Linked DNA regions of Lepisosteus oculatus. The protein of the gene in region 2 purifies or fractionates together with the protein of the main gene of each other region. This does not show direct contact. Links are inferred from orthologs where the notes say so. Each region holds a gene or a part of one and is shown on either strand. Other genes may lie near its edges.

Region 1 (8,032 bases), on a different chromosome or scaffold from region 2:
CAGTCTGGCAACATGTTTAAATGTTGTTGGTGTTTTATTTTATTTTTGGAATGAGGACACTGCTGAGCGGTCAGCACTGGTAGTTTTGAGAGCTCTGTGCATGGAGGGGGCAGCGGTGGTTGATCTCATTTTCGTCTGCGTGTTCGACGCCGGCCTCGGCGCAGAGCTCCTTGAGCAAGTCGGGATCGGCGACGGCCTGCTCTCGCGTGGGTGTGTTTTGGCACGAGCGGTAAAGTACAGACTCCACTGAATGAAGGATAAAGCCTTTTTTTCCCCTCCCGTTTCCTATTCTATTTAAAAAATGTAAAGTGTTGTTTTAGCTCTAATTATATGATATAAAAGAAAACGGGTTTCCTCTGGAGTTTATATTAATTTGAAGTAATGTGATGAGGGTCAGGTTAGCTGAAGCCTGGTTATACTGCTCAGAAAGCTGCAAGTAAATCTGTCAAGAGCACAAAGGAGGTCAGCAGGTTTAACTCCGGAGGAGGGGAAGCCGAGAGCTGAGAGAGGTATGAAACAGGAGCATGGAGTTAGGTTGGGGGGGGGGAGTCTTTGGAGTGATCACCTGCAGGGAATGTTTCATTCTTGTCTTTTAGTGTATCTTACACGGCAGAAAAACAAACTGCTGCAGGGCAACTCGGCACGGCTCACCTGGTGCTTTTAAGATCTTTGATAATATTGACCAAAAGAATAGCACTTAAAATTCAAGAGTTTTTCTTTATATTTTGTGGTAAATTGGAAATTTTTCAAAAGTGGTATTCAGAGTGCATTTGAATCTGAAACGCAAAAATAGTACATATATTACTAGTAAATAGCTGATACATGCTTGCGTATGTGGTCTGTACAGACTTCTCTTACTACAACACAGTGGAAGTCTTTGCAGTGACCTTGTAGTGGAGACATTAACTGCTCAACTTCACTGGTTTGTGCCCTTTATTTTATTACAGCCATTGGTTTGCATACTGAGTAGGCTGATCCCAGTTTCTGTCAAAGTAAAAAACAACGCTCTGAATACGTGAACAGCTTCAAGTGTCGTTATTTTGCTTCAGCTACAGATCTTAACTAAGCATTACAGATTTACATGCACCCCTAACAGATAATGCGGACTTCAGGATGTTGGATGTTCCTGTGCAGTTTGTTCTTCCAGGGTAGTGAATTATTCAGGTTTTGTCATGGTAAATGTCATGATGTTGGCTGTTCAGTTCACTGATTGTGAGTGTCCTTAACAGGATATGGGCACTGTGATCCTGGGCAAGCTGGAGTCTGGGTCTATCTGCAAAGCACAGCAGCTTGTGATGATGCCAAACAAGGTGGGTTTGCATGTATTGCAGCACTGACCTCTATCCCGGGTTCTGTCTGAACAGCAGTTTCAAATGCTGCATTTCCTGAGAGCCCAGATGGGTTTTTTTTATAGACTGCATCAGTCTTCTGTGTCCCGTCTTCCTAAAAGCGAGTTCAGAGATAGCAATGGTTATAGCAGAGGGCTTCTGCTCGCACATAACACATAAGCCCAAACAAAGCAGCAGGAGCTAGCTGTGGGGCCTGTACAGTGCAACACCATGCTGTTGATCTAGAGCCGTGTGAGATGTGGCTAGGCTCCTCGGCGACTGACTGAAGAGGTGCATGTTTGTCCCCAGCACACCGTGGAGGTCCTCAGCCTGCTCTCGGACGATGTGGAGACGGAGTTCGCCGGGCCCGGGGAGAACCTGAAGCTGAGGCTGAAGGGCATCGAGGAGGAGGAGATCCTGCCCGGCTTCATCCTTTGTAACGCCGAGAACCTCTGCCACTCCGGGCGCACTTTCGACGCTCAGGTCAGGGTCCGCCCCCGCCCCATCATCACTCCCCACAGGCCCTTGTGTCTTTCAAGTCAGTCCGCGGCCCCTCCCCCAGGAATGACGATCTCAGAGGAGGGATCAAAGAAAAGCCTTTGAGCATGCACCAGATACAGAGCGAGGCCCTGTCCCATCACCAACACACGCCTAAAGTCAGCTGTTAACCCCACCTCACATTGCTAGAATAGTGGGCGAGTTCACGTTCATACATTAGGAGAAGAGGCAACACCTGCCCAGAGATTATGGAGGTGCTGTCCAGTAAAAAAGTAAGTGATAACCATAGAATCCATGGGTGCGCACTCTCTGCTCCAAGACAATTGAACACCTTTGGCATCCTCCTGACCTCCAACTGAGGGTTTTACAAAAAGACTTCATTTTACTTTTGGCCACATACCTGCGGATCAGATGAGGCAAGACAGCCTGGCTTCACACGATGTCGAAGTGAGGAAAGCTGTGTTTCTTCATAGAAAGAGAAACTGGTCACACTTCTGTCTTATTTCTGCTCTTGTCTCGCCTTCACAGATTGTCATCATCGAACACAAATCCATCATCTGCCCTGGTTACAACGCAGTCCTGCACATCCACACCTGCATTGAAGAAGTCCAAATTACAGTAAGTGCATGATTTTCCACACCACTTCCAAATGTCTGACAGTGTTTTAAGTAGCCATTGCTGGTCAGACAAGACATGATATAAAGAAGTGGTGTCACATAAGTCTCAAAGCAGTCATGCAGCAGGGCCTGCTGTGCATCCTGTGTTTTTACATGCTGCGCTTCCAGGAATGCTTGTATGTTTAGACAGAGTTCAGATCTTATTACAGTTACTGTGTATATGGATATTAACCTGTGCTATTTTGGTTTCTAATGGGAAACTGTCTTAATAGGTGGGAGTAATTTCAGACCTCCTTAACCTCCAGTTATGTATGCAAACATTGTAACGGACGTTAAAAAAAAGGCTCTTAAGTTAGATTCTTTTCATTGATCGACTTGTTTGTAGCAATACACACTTAATTGTATCATTATTGGCTGACTGCAGAAAATCACACTGCTGTTAATGGACCTGAAATGATTTTCCTCCTTCTCATGCAGGCCTTAATCTGCCTGGTAGACAAAAAGTCTGGCGAGAAAAGCAAGACGCGACCTCGTTTTGTGAAACAAGACCAAGTGTGCATCGCCCGCCTGCGGACCGCGGGCACCATCTGCCTTGAGACCTTCAAAGATTTCCCTCAGATGGGACGCTTCACCTTACGGGATGAAGGTGGAGTTAACTGTGGCTTAAAGCATGGGACAGCTACAGCCCCGTTACAGAACAGACCTCGAATTCACTTTCCACGCCATCTCACCCTTGTCTTGAAGGACTGAGAATAAGGGCGTCAATGCAGCTGAACTGCATCACACGTAATTACGGCAGACACATGTCCACTGCAGATGAGGCTGGATTTGTATTTCTGCTACGTGATTGGTGTTGTACAGCACGAATAAGGAAGGTTTAGGAAGGTTAAACCCACTTAAAGGGGAGTACATTGTGTCGGAACACGGGAGGGTAATGTCTGTGTGAGGATGTTAGAGCAGCGTGTTTTAAAAAGTATGTAGTTAAAGATTTAAAGCTGTTTGCAATCCCACGTGATCGAGTGGGTGGGTGTCTGATTTGACTGTATCGGTGAAAGAAATTCTCTTTTATGTTTTTTTTTGTAGGCAAGACCATCGCCATTGGCAAGGTTTTGAAGCTGGTACCAGAGAAGGACTAAAGGGGGCGCTGTGGTTGCCTGGCGTAGTTGACTGTGATGGAAGTGGACTCGGCAGCAGCCTGCTTCTCACCACCTTCTCCTCTGCCCCTCCTGCCCGCCGCAGACGAGTTCACAACACGAAACGTCTCTGAAAGTGAAAGATAAATCAGTTTTTTAAAAAAATAAAGAGTCCACATATGTCAGCTTTCTCATATTGAGAGCTCAGCTATGCCATTTGTTAGTCCCCTCCCTTCCCTGTTTTAAGATTGTCATTGAATGAAACTTAATAAAAGAAAGATAAGAATTTCTCTTCCAACTTTTTTGACTTCCTTCAGAGAAAGTGGCAGCAGCTGCCAGAACAGGTGTGGACTGAGCTGCTTGGATTAGAAAGGAAAAAAAAAACACAAATTTACAACACTTCGAAACCAAAATAATGTTCATATCCTGGTTGTACATGTCTCCCTTTGCTTATATCAAGATGGGTTTCTCTACACAAGGAGTTCGTACAGCATGTGCGAGCGTGATCACATGTTATTAAAGCGACTACAGTGACAATAAAATATTAAGTTTAAAAAAAACATTTCTGTTGCGTGCTTCGTTTTGTGTGTTGAACTCTTCTCCACACTGGAACCTGGCGGGCTCTGGACGGCTTCCTCTTTATCCCCCAGCTTTCTGAGGGCAGCAAACCCCGTTCGTAACTACCCCAGCCCAAACCGCTGCAGACAGCAGAGCTAATCTCCCTTCAGACCTTGGTGGCCACTGTCTTGTCTCTGGAGCACAGCTGTAAGGAGTTCAAGTTGAGTGTTCTTTAAAAAAAAGACTCAAATTATTGTTGCATACAGAATTGGCAGTCAGTGTTTTTGAAGTGTTTAAGGGGATGAGTAGTGGCATCTTTTTATGTGAAGTTTTGCACTCCAAAGTACATGTAAGCTAAGAGTTTCAGAAAGTCGGTTTTATTTTTTAAAATACCTCTGTGCCAGTATTATTCTGTTGTTTACATGTTGGCAGTGAACAACTGTTCTAGTCAGGGGAACTTTCTGAAATGTGCATCTATAAAGGTCTTGCATTAGTGCAGGAACGTGACATTAATGATCCCCGCCCCAATGTAGACCAAAAACGTTTATTCCAATTTTATGATCTGTAAATATTTCAATAACCATGATTATTTGTCCAGTCGAAAAATTGTGTCCATGGTGGATTTTGCCGTTGACTTCTAAGGGAGACGCTATAAAGAAACTCCCCCCGCCCACAGAATATTTCAAGATCAATCCAAGATCACATCAATTTTATAAGGCTGCAGTAACAGTCTTCCTCGACACAAAAATAGCACAACGTGGAACGAACCGGATATAAGGATCAATCTACGCATGCCTGCACAATAGGTTGGGGGCTGGGGAAGCATAGTGCGTTTATAAATAAAGTTTGGGCTTTCAAGTGAAACAGGAAGTGGTTGATTGACGCATGTCCGAGTCCTGTGGGCCGCACGTGTCAGGAGAGGCAGCATGGCGACCGATCAGAGCGGTGGTGTGGAGTTGGATCGCTCGCAGGTAATATAGCAGATTCAGAGATCGTGAGAGATGTGTTCTGTATTGAATGTGTCTACCAGCGATAAAAAAGTATTCGTAATTAAACAGTTCGTTTACGTTACCTTTTTGGGTATTTTACTCGTATCTGTAGGGTAACTGCTAAATGGGATAAGCGGCGACTCTAAAATAAGTTGAATAACTTAATTTCTTATAGCAGCGTATGTGTTGTAGGTTTTTCGTATGATCTTCGGGTGGGCGCATAAGCCAGTCTTCCCTGATTTATCATTAAATTTAGTGTAGAAGTCCGCAATATCCGTCTCCCCATGAAGGAGTTGAGTGTGATGCAACTAGTTCTTAGTCTGGCGAGCAGTTTTCATAATTAGCTACCAAAAAGAAATACGAACATGCACGTTTATAAGCAGCTCCTCTAAAGCTTATAACTTATTTTAAATAGAATTGATCGCTTTTTTATGTACTGCTGAAGTGGTAGGACATTCACTTAGATCGGTCAGGAACATGTTTAACCTGGCCATACATTCGTTTATCGGATTCATAGTCTCTTAGTCATTTTGTTTTTCATAAGAGTAGCGTAAAATGTTTAGTGTTTTGGGTGTGCGGGTGAATGTTGATAGCAGGGAGGCATGGCCTAGTGAGATGGTGGTAACACTGCTGCCTCCGGGGGCACCTCTTGTGTGGGCTCTGTGTGCTGTCTCAAAATCTGCGGGTGTCTTCTAGCAGACTACTTCTCCAGGCTCAATTCCCCCTGCCTGCGTGAGTGTGGGGCTGTGGCGGACTGGGGTCCTGTGCAGGATATAGTCTTGCCTTGTGTGTCCTGAATGGGCTCTGGTTTCCTGTGGCTATGAATGCAGAACCATGAAACCGCCCCAACTGAGAAGAAAGCGATGTTGTGGTTTTAGGCAGCCGGTTTCCTGGCCTGCACTGAGGGATTCGGTGTCTCGTGTCGTTGCAGGTGAAGAAGGCTGCGCAGGCCCTGCTGGCCTACCTGAAGAGCACGCCCAGCTCGGGCTCCGTCCTGCTGGACGAGCACCAGCACATCTCCCTGCTCTTCACTCTCTGGAAGGTCCCCAAGAAGGAGCAGACTATCCGCATGTGAGTGTTCGTGGCAGGGTTACTGGCGGGCTGCGGCGTCTCTGACGTCTCGATGTGCCCCGGTGTGGAGCAGTCGAATGTCTGCTTTCGAGCGTGCCTGGCCCTCCTCCCATCTCGAGCGCTGGTGGCGATTTGAAGGAAAGCGTGAAACCTGCTCCACTGGGTCCCACTGGCTCAGTCTGGCTTTCCGCCCGGTGACAGTCAAGCTGTCCGGTTCACGGGCTTCTGATAGGCTGGTTATGAGGGTATAAAAGAAGGGAAATCTCGATCAATTTAGCTTGTCTGTCTCATTTCAGAATATATGAAAAACCAAGAGTATACATGATCATGCATAGCTGTGGCCCTTATGGGTTGAGAAGCCAAGGATAAGAATTGATCTGTTGTTTGTGAGAAGATGTGTATTTCCCCAGGTGACTCGCCAGTAAGGTGGCACAGTGGCGCAGTGGTTAGCGCTGGGATCATGTGTTCAATTCTGGGCCTGGGGCACAGTCTGCTTGGGGTTTGTATGTCCTCATCAGTTTCCTGTAGGTCTGCCCCCACAGTCCAGTCCAGAGACATACTAGTAGGTTAATTGGCTTCTGGAAAAACTGGCCTGGGTGTGTTTGTGTTTTTGTATGTCCACTATGGACTGGCATCCTGTCCAGGGTGCCCGCTGCTTGCAGGTAGAGGCACTGGCTCTCCTGCCTCCCTGTATTGCATAAAGGGGTTAGAAAATGCATGGATAGATGAAATATTGCAGCAGGCTTTGAAAGTCGCTGCAGTGGTCTTCTGTGGCACTGAAGTGGAGACTCTTGCCTTCCTGTCCAGCCCCTTACCCCATGGCCTGCGCTTGGAATCCGGGGACGTGTGTCTCTTCACCAAGGACGAGCCCAACATGACTTCTGACCAGACGGAGCGCTTCTACAAGAGGCTGCTCTCGGAGAAGGGAGTCAAAGGAATTACACAGGTACTCCCCAGCTTAGCCACCAGGGGGCACTGTTCCCCACTGCTTGGCAGAAAAATTTTAAACACTCCCCCTCCCCCCCCAAGTTCCTCGTCCTTCGTCGGGGTGAGGTGATAACAGGTTGTCCTCCTCTCCTGTGGCAGGTGATGCCCTTCCGGGTGCTGAAGAAGGAGTACAAGTCCTTTGAAGCGAAGCGGAGGCTTCTGGGCAACTTCGACCTCTTCCTGGCAGACGACAGGGTTCGCCGGCTCCTGCCCTCGCACATCGGAAAGCACTTCTACCAGAGCAAGAAGTACGCCCACCCAGCCTGCGGGACCTGCTCTGCTTTACGTTTAGGACTGACAGTTATTTATATTGAAGCCCCATCTCCAGTTGCTTTTTTTCCCCCATTGTATCGGCTCGTGGCTACGTTTCATAGCCACGTGGCCGGCTAACGCCTGCCCACCCTGATCCTGTTGTGCGCCACCTGGTCACAGGCAGCTATAGTGTCATGACCCTGACTCGAACCCAGAACCGCCTGGGTCATAGAGCTCAGTGAGTGCCTTAGCCAGGGGAAGCCCTCGAACTGGGGGGGGGGGGGGGCAGCAAACCAGATGTTTTCCAGCTGTGAAGCTGAAATCTGATTTCGGATGATTGCAGTATCCTACACCAGCTGGTTACACGGCAGTTTAGAAAACCATCTCCTGAGTTATTTCAGAAATAATCCTCTGGGGAGGCAGTGGCTTTCCTACCAGCAGTTTATTTTTGTTTTCGCTGGCTTGTAATTGCACAGATCACAGGTCTTTGTAAGCAGAGGGATGGTTCTGTGGGGAAGTTCTGTATCCAGGAGTGGGAGCAGGTTTGCCAGCAGCCCGTGTTGGCGCTCTGGTCTCGCCATGTGTGCAGGTGTCTGTGA
Region 2 (7,890 bases):
AACCAGGAATCTGGCTCGGGAGGGGAGTCTGCGTTCCTGGGAACGAGGATGTCTTCTCAGGTTTTCCTCTTGTGCTTGCACGCCGAATGACTGGAACGACCTCGCAGCTGGGCACCAGTGGTGTGGTCTGTTCGGGTTTGCCGTTGAGCAGGGGCGACGGGAGATCTCTTGGCACTGGCTGGTACTCTGCCAGTCGCCTCTTCCGGTGTGTTCTGAGTGCTTCAGACTCTGCTGGGGAATACATAAACACAATAAATAGGATACTATTTCTGGTTTGTTAAAACAGCATTTTCTATGTTATGCTTGCTTTAGTTTTTAAATTCTGAAGAGCTCAAAAGATAACACCTGCAACGCCCATACTATTTTTATGCTTAAGGTATACTTACATGTGAATTTTAATAAGTAAAAATACATGCATCAACCATTTCATTTTTCTCAATGTGTTTTGAGAAAAGTGAACATCGAAACATTTTGATACTAGATCCTGTTACTTTCAGCCATGTAAATCAAGTGTCAAGATAAGAGCTCTTTATTGGCCATATACAATTTCTAGTATTAGGAATTTGTCTTTTCACATACTGTACCTCAGCTTGCTCTCCATGAGACACCCAGACAGGGAGAGAAGCTTGGGGTCAGAGCGCAGGGTCAGCCATTTATATGGAGCCCCTGGAGCAGCTGAGGTTAAGGGCCTTGCTCAGGGGCCCAACAGAGTAAGATTCCTCTGCTGGCCGCAGGATACAAACCGGCAAACTTCCAGCCACAGGCCCAGATCCTTAGCCAGAGACCCACCACACCACCCCTGGTGCATTATAATCATGGTGCATTTCAAGTGATGCTGTTAAAGTTATTTGTGCTACAGTTTTTGTTCTGTTTCCAGCCTGATTAAAGTGTTAAATGGTGTACATCTATTTTTAAGGCATATGGGAGAGACAAAGTATGTCGCAAAAGTGGCATTGGCTCAGTATTGCACACATACATTCCAGAAAGGGGATTAATAGTTAAGACAGAAGCTTTAGACATACAGTATGTAAGAATTGCAAAAGCAAGCATTCAGATAACAGAGCTGTGTATTGCACCCAACCTGATGCTTGCTCCTTCACTGGGGCTGATTCTCCTCGCCCTGGTGACCCCAACAGCGCAGCCCCTCTGTGGCCGAGAGCCTGCAGGAGCTGCTCCATCTCCAGATAGACAGCAGCCGACAGCACAGAGTCCTTCAGGTCGAGTGGTGGCAACGTCCCAGTGTAGATGAACTCCAGGAGCAGCCCCATGGCTTCAGGGGTAAGAGTAGGGCACCCCAGATCGAGCAGAGAGCCCTGACTGGGGAGAAGGGAAGCCAGGAGAGGGCTTGAGGCAGCCAGGACACTTCTGTGGGCTATGTAGAGTTTTTCAGGGTGAAGCTGCAACCTGATCACACAGTCACAGAACTGGCCTGACTGCCTCTGAGAGTTCAGCTCCCTCAGCAGAGTGAGGGCGTGGGAAGAGACTGGGAGAGGACAGGCCATCACCTAGAGAAGGGAGAAGACAGATTTGCGTGTTCCATTCATTTCTCAGAGCCGCATACAGTACAGTAATTCACATAGAATGAGAGAAAGGGACAAATACACAGAGTGCACCAGACTTTCCTTTTAAATGTTTCCACTACATACCATTTAAATGTATTCTGTTTCTGAATCAGGTTGAGAAATAGGTTTCGGTCTCTGTTATGCACTGGAGAATTCTGCTGTGCAATACTTACGTAAACCAGAAACGTTAGGAGTAGGAAATAAATTGGTTGGCATTAACAAGAAATTAGATACAACATCAGACAAAGCCTGTATGGTGTACTGGGTCTGAACACTTTCATTCCTGCATCACTACAAGTACTAAGAGTAGTGGTAAATGACGGCATTAAGCTGCTGCGGTGACGATACACACTTTATGGAGAATTACAGTTAATTAGGGGGATAAGCACCCGCTCTGCTCTCCCTGAAGTCTCCTGCGAGCGCCCGGGTACCTGCGGACAGGCCAGGACAAGAGGCTACGTGCGCTTTCATTCGAAAACAATCACACGGTTTCGCAACGGCGAGCCCTACGTGACTCTGTCTGTTGCAGATAGGGGAGTGGAGTCCCGCTGTCCTGACGTCAAGGTCTCTGAACTCACCGCTGGAGCGCCCTGCCCCAGGACACTGCCTGTGCTCGAGGCTCCAGCGTGATAACCCACCTCCTGATGACGCTCCGTTTTTTTTTTATTCCGTAAAAGGAGTAGCATACACACGCACATGTGACCCCCTAGCCTGAGGTCCAGCTCTGCTCAGGGGGTTGAGTCCAGTGCCGTTACAAGATCTGTCTCTCGCGCGCAGTCCACCGCAATGGAAAGTAAATGATATCCACGTGGACCGAAGACCTTGTGAGCTTCCAACAGGCTAGAGCCGACTGCAGCGGGTTTATTTAAAACGCCTGGCTGTCGCCAGATGACGCTTTCCGGAGATAATAGTTCGTGCGCTTATCGACACGAAGCTGCTCTTTAATCATTAAGGTACAAAACAAATACCGCATATTCTCTTCGCTTTTATTTGTTTCCAATTTATTTTTGAAGGTAAACACCCTCCCTATATTCTGCGATTTAAAAAAACATGTTCATCTTATTAAATTGCGGGATTCTTAAAACACCCTTCTCACCGAGTCGTGGTTCCTGTCTCACAATCAAAATAGAATGCATTTCTTTAAATAAAAACATCTGAAATAAACTTTACTTAATTGAGCTGCGTAATGCATTTTCACGTCCATGCAACTTTACATATTCGGTGCAGATATTCTTTTACTGAAAGTTATATTCCACACACACACACCATATACAGCATTTACTGTGCACATTTTGTAATGTCACGTATGACAAATGGCTGCCATTAAATTAGTAAAAGTGAGCTGACAAGAAAAACGTTTCTAAACACAAATTTTAAAAAATAAATCATTTTTAGTTTCTAAACCTAATTTGCGTTGTCGTATAGAAGCATTTTAATTCCAATATGAACTAAGACTTCAGAAATCTGTTCCTTCTTTTCCTTTCACTATTCTTTTCCTTGCACAAATTCAAAACAGTGGTAATTCAGAAATTCTGAATGTATAATCATCCTCTTAAAGCAGCTGGTAAAATAAAATACATACCTGTGGTGTTTAGTTAAAAAACTATGAAGAAATAGTTTGTCAGTATATAGCAGAGGCTGTCTGACCACCGGACACAATCACAGCCTTACGGCCCATGCTGGCTATCCAGAACGCCGCGGGTGTGTTTAAAGACTCAGCTGAGAAGCTACGTGCGCTTCCATTCGGAAAATACCATCAGCCGCTGCTAGAGACAAGCTAGACGTCACACCAGAGCACCAGACATCTGTAAGGGGGGGGGGGGCACCCCACCATGACGTCACACATCACTCAGCTCCTTAAAAAGTGTGTTCCCAGGCTTCTCCAGTGCCGCTGCAACACGCCCCTTGTCCCAGGATAGGTCTTTCCTTCTAATCAGTGACAGATCCGCGGCTGTAATATACAGTTTAGACGTGGTAGTGAATTTCAGTTAATGTTTTATTTTAATGTTAAGGTTGTGTTGTTGTATTGAACTTAAATCGCAAAACAAATTGCCCTTAGGTGATAGTAATAAAATATGAATTGAAATGGACGAGTTTATGAACATTTTGTTTTGACATCGCTGGAGGGATATTGTATTAAGGCGATTATTTACTTTTTAAGTTTTTTATAATATAATATCGCAGTGATTACAAAGGATCACTTACAATGTTTAAAGATCAACTGAAAGCGTTGTGTTAATGGATGCAATAAATATGGACAATAAAATAAACAATATGGCTCATACTGATATTAAGCATTGCTCAGCTTTGTAAAACATCTCTTAGCTTCTTGTCGAGGAATATTTGCGAAACATCCGTTTACAGGCAACAAAACAAAAAATCAATTTATGAAAATAAAACTAAGCGTCTCGTTACGCTTTATCCAGCCACTCATTTCAATGTTTATCTTCTGAAATAACTATGATAATTAAAATGTACAAAAATAATACATAATAGATGTTAACTATAGGTTACCATTATAGGTGGTAACTAACAGTCGTGGGTATATTTAAAATCCGTGTCATACAAAATAAACGCGCTTATTTACATGCAATATGCACAATCTCAGTGGCACCAAACTCACAGCACTCCACTGCTTAGCGCTGAAGGCTCATTTTCAGTTAAGATTACATACAGAACACCCAATTGTCCACGTAAACAAATTCTGAAACTAATTTCCAATAATTATTGATGCAACATAACTCCGCAAACATTTATTTCAGCGAGTTCAATTTCTCCCAGCTAGTTCCATTTCTCCACGACGCACTGTTCTTTTGTGGATGAATATTTGTTTTTAGTGTAATGTTTACGTGGTCTTTGGGACAAAAGGGACACTCTCCTCGATCCCAGGTGTTGAAGAGCCTTGATGTTTCACCTGTAGAATGCAGTTACTGAGCAGAGCAGCCTTCAAACAACGTGTTACTGGCAAACCAAGGTTGGTGAAGAGGTAAGAAAAATGAGTTTTAAACACCCTCGTTTAAGTGTTGTAGCAATAAAATGAAACAGTGCAATTATCTAGGTAGGTACAAACTATTTTCACCACGTTTGCATTGTTTGTTTTTAGTCTGGTGTTACCGGAGTCCTACACGTCTTGACGTTTATTCCACTTCCAGTGAATAAACACCTTGTTTCTGTACACGCAGCTGGTCTCTCAGCCGCATGGAGCGACGCGCTCTGTTTGGCGTCTCTAGCTTGCCGTAGTCCTGATAGCGGATATGGTTGCTGTGGAGGGGGATGTTCTTTCCTTGTTAGCTTTGTCGCCGAGACGGCAGTAGGAGCCCGTCTTTGGGAGAACTTATCGGGTGAAAATGCCGGGAAAGATTGTTGAAAGTGAAGACATCGGGATGGAAGACGATCTTGACACCAGTATGGAGGACTATAAGCCATCCAAGGTGGGGAAAGGCGATGGTTTATAGCTATAATAGCATTCGTGTTTATACTGTACCCAGTCAGAAGTTACATGGATGCCAAGCACGTGTGTCTGAGAGTGTACACGTGTGTGAGATATTTAAACGTTTTCTGAGAAAGTAGATTTAATTCTTATGACGGGACAACAGAGTAGCATTTGACTAAGGTAATCAATAATACGTATTACTAATTTATCTTTACATTCTGGTATATTTATATAATGTAGTTTTGTTATTGTAGCACTTGTCAGACAACATGATAAAAGTGTGACGTTCAAATACTTAAAACGGCCATGCTTATGTAAAGGCAGTGAGCTGTGGGTTTTATCCACAAAACATCTTCATGGTTCACGCTGTCAAGTGCCAGGCGTTTTAGGTACCACATGTTGGGTATATACTTGGATTGCTTGTAAACACATTGGACGAAGTATGTTTTTGTTGTTGCTCGGCAGAAACAAAAGAAGGGAAAGAAATCTAAGGATGAAAAGAAACCCAAGAAAAAAAAGGGAACAGTGGAAGGGCAGCCCGATGAGACTGACACACCTCCTCCCAAGAAGAAAAAGCGGGCTTCTGTCGAAGAGCCACCAGCCTCTGAAACGACAAGTAACGGAGACGCCGTCAGGGGCAGCTCAGCAAAGAAACACAAGTCCAAATCCGTCAATGGAACACCATTAATGAAAGATTTGCCTCATTCCAGTGAAGAATCCGGCAGTGATTCTGGCCATGAAACAGAGCCTAAGGTAACGCTTGTGAATCTGCTGGTCAGGTTTTAAAGCTATCCATTTACACGTGTTGTATTAATGCCGTTAGAGAAGGTAGCTCTTTTGATTACATCTGGAGTTAGTTCAGTCTCTAGGATATCTTTATACCCGGTGGAGTGCAGTGCCATTGGGCTACTTAAGTGTTTATGTTTAGAAGGAAGGAAAAAATTGGCATTCACAGGTTATTAATAATTGCTTACACATATACAGCGCTTATCTGGACACTCCACTCAAAGTGCTTTACAGGTAATAGGGACTCCCCTCCACCACCACCAATGTGCAGCCCCACCTGGATGATGTGACGGCAGCCATAGTGCACCAGAACACTCACCACACATTAGCTATTTAGTGGGGAGGAGAACAGTGATGAAGCCAGTTCATAGATTGGTATTATTAGGAGGCCGTGATTGGTAAGAGCCATGGGAAATTTGGCCAGGACACCAGGGGTACACCCCTACTCTTTTCAAGAAACGCCCTGGGATTTTTAATGACCACAGGGAGTCAGGACCTCGGTTTTACGTCTCATCCGAAGGACGGAGCCTTTTTACAGAGTATAGTGTCCCCATCACTACACTGGGGCATTAGGACCCACATGGACAGCAGGGTGAGTGCCCCCTGCTGGCCCCACTAACACCTCTTCCAGCAGCAACCTTAGTTTTTCCCAGGAGGTCTCCATCCAGGTACTGACCAGGCTCACACCTGCTGAGCTTCAGTGGGCTGCCAGGTGTGGGTAGCAGGGTGGTATGGCTGCTGGCATTAAATGTTTAATGTTCCCTACACGCTTCTTAAATCACAGTCATAGCCCAGCATTTGACCTCTATACCTGCAGTACCACTAAAAATAGTGTTGATCTCAGAGCAGCACGAGATGTAATTATCCCAAGAAAAACACACTTTTGCCCCCCGCCCCATCCTGTGGTGCCATCAGTTCCAACAGCATCAGCTGCCCTAAAGAACGTTGTGGTGTTTTTCGCTTCCCCATCAGCCGAAGAAGACGGGGAAGGCAGTCGTCAATGGCGTCTCGACAAAGAAGTTGAAACGGCAAGCCAGCAGCTCCCCGGAGCAGGGAGCCTCGGTGCTCACCCCGTCTCATTCCAGCGAGGACTCCAGCATCGACAGCGAGAAGGAAGCGGAGGTATGAAATCCGGCTGGTCCTTCGCGTTTCTAAACCGGCATGCTCAAAGCCTGCTCCTCGGTTTTACTTGAAAGACCTGCGTGTGTGTGTTTTAATGGAACATTCTTTTAAAGAGATCCTAATTATCTGACGTCCGCCCTTCATGTGACTCTGTTTGTTACGTGTGCTAGTCTATTTGGTGTTCAGTTGAAAAGTGAAATAAAATCGGGCTTGGTGGAGCTTTACTAAAAAGAAAGGAAGTGAAGATGTTTTAAATTAAGTGGGCATTTCCTTCATGAAGACTTTTTTTGTCCCCTGCAGTCGTCAATGTAGACTACAAGAGTTCTTCTAGGACTTCGTAAAAGCTCGTTAACTATATAATTATAAAAAATAATTGGAAATTTAGAGTGGACACCGATGTCCTGCTCGCGTATAAAGCACAGAACGGCTTAGCACCTGATTATTTTAAGGCTTATTGCATGTGTTAACTCCATCTCTTAATGTAGGACATATTGATTTAGGCCTTCTTACTCTGCTGAGTTCTGTTGACATGTTTTTTAAAACTTGCTTAAAGACCTATTTTCCACAGTTGCTTTAATATGTAATTTGGGTATACTCTTGGTTTTATTAATTCAGTTGGCTGTGCATTTATTTTCTGTTTACTAGTTTCTACACAATTGTGCCGTTTTTTATTTCTTTGAAAGTGCTTATAACTTAAAGTGTAGTACATTACCACTACTTTCACTGTTAATATTTCTATTTGAAATTTCAAACACCCTGCAGAAATTCTGCTAAGACTGCGTCCTAAGACTGTGCATTATTAATTCTAAAAAAGCCTTTTTCCTTGGTTACTCAGACTTCAGATCACAGCATTCACAGGCACTTGATACTTTGCCTCTTGTCAGTGTTTAAATACTCCTGGTGGTAAATGTTTCTGTTGAAATCACTCCAGAGGAAAAAAACTGGTGGTGTTTTCTGAACGGGTCATATAAAGGAAGTCCATTTCAT

The links. The genes of interacting proteins can lie anywhere in the genome.
Region 1: the proteins of ddx21 (region 2) and rsl1d1 purify together in Homo sapiens (affinity purification with mass spectrometry; 3 studies listed by BioGRID and IntAct, with this or other methods). This does not show direct contact. The link is inferred for Lepisosteus oculatus from reciprocal best matches to the Homo sapiens genes DDX21 and RSL1D1.

Annotation. Positions count from the first base shown.
Region 1 is NC_090714.1:15,563,142-15,571,173, reverse strand, and holds the start of rsl1d1 (ribosomal L1 domain-containing protein 1), read left to right. Parts: upstream 1-4,998; 5' UTR 4,999-5,060; coding exon 5,061-5,105; intron 5,106-6,054; coding exon 6,055-6,194; exon of another isoform or gene 6,195-6,427; intron 6,428-7,001; coding exon 7,002-7,140; intron 7,141-7,280; coding exon 7,281-7,429; intron 7,430-8,032. Other genes in the region: gspt1 (eukaryotic peptide chain release factor GTP-binding subunit ERF3A), read left to right, coding at 1,230-1,310, 1,638-1,811, 2,355-2,444, 2,921-3,089, 3,527-3,579. UniProt on the Homo sapiens protein: Regulates cellular senescence through inhibition of PTEN translation. Acts as a pro-apoptotic regulator in response to DNA damage.
Region 2 is NC_090699.1:30,703,177-30,711,066, forward strand, and holds the start of ddx21 (nucleolar RNA helicase 2), read left to right. Parts: upstream 1-4,830; 5' UTR 4,831-4,909; coding exon 4,910-4,993; intron 4,994-5,460; coding exon 5,461-5,748; intron 5,749-6,753; coding exon 6,754-6,903; intron 6,904-7,890. Other genes in the region: hypermethylated in cancer 2 protein-like, read right to left, coding at 1-231, 1,082-1,502.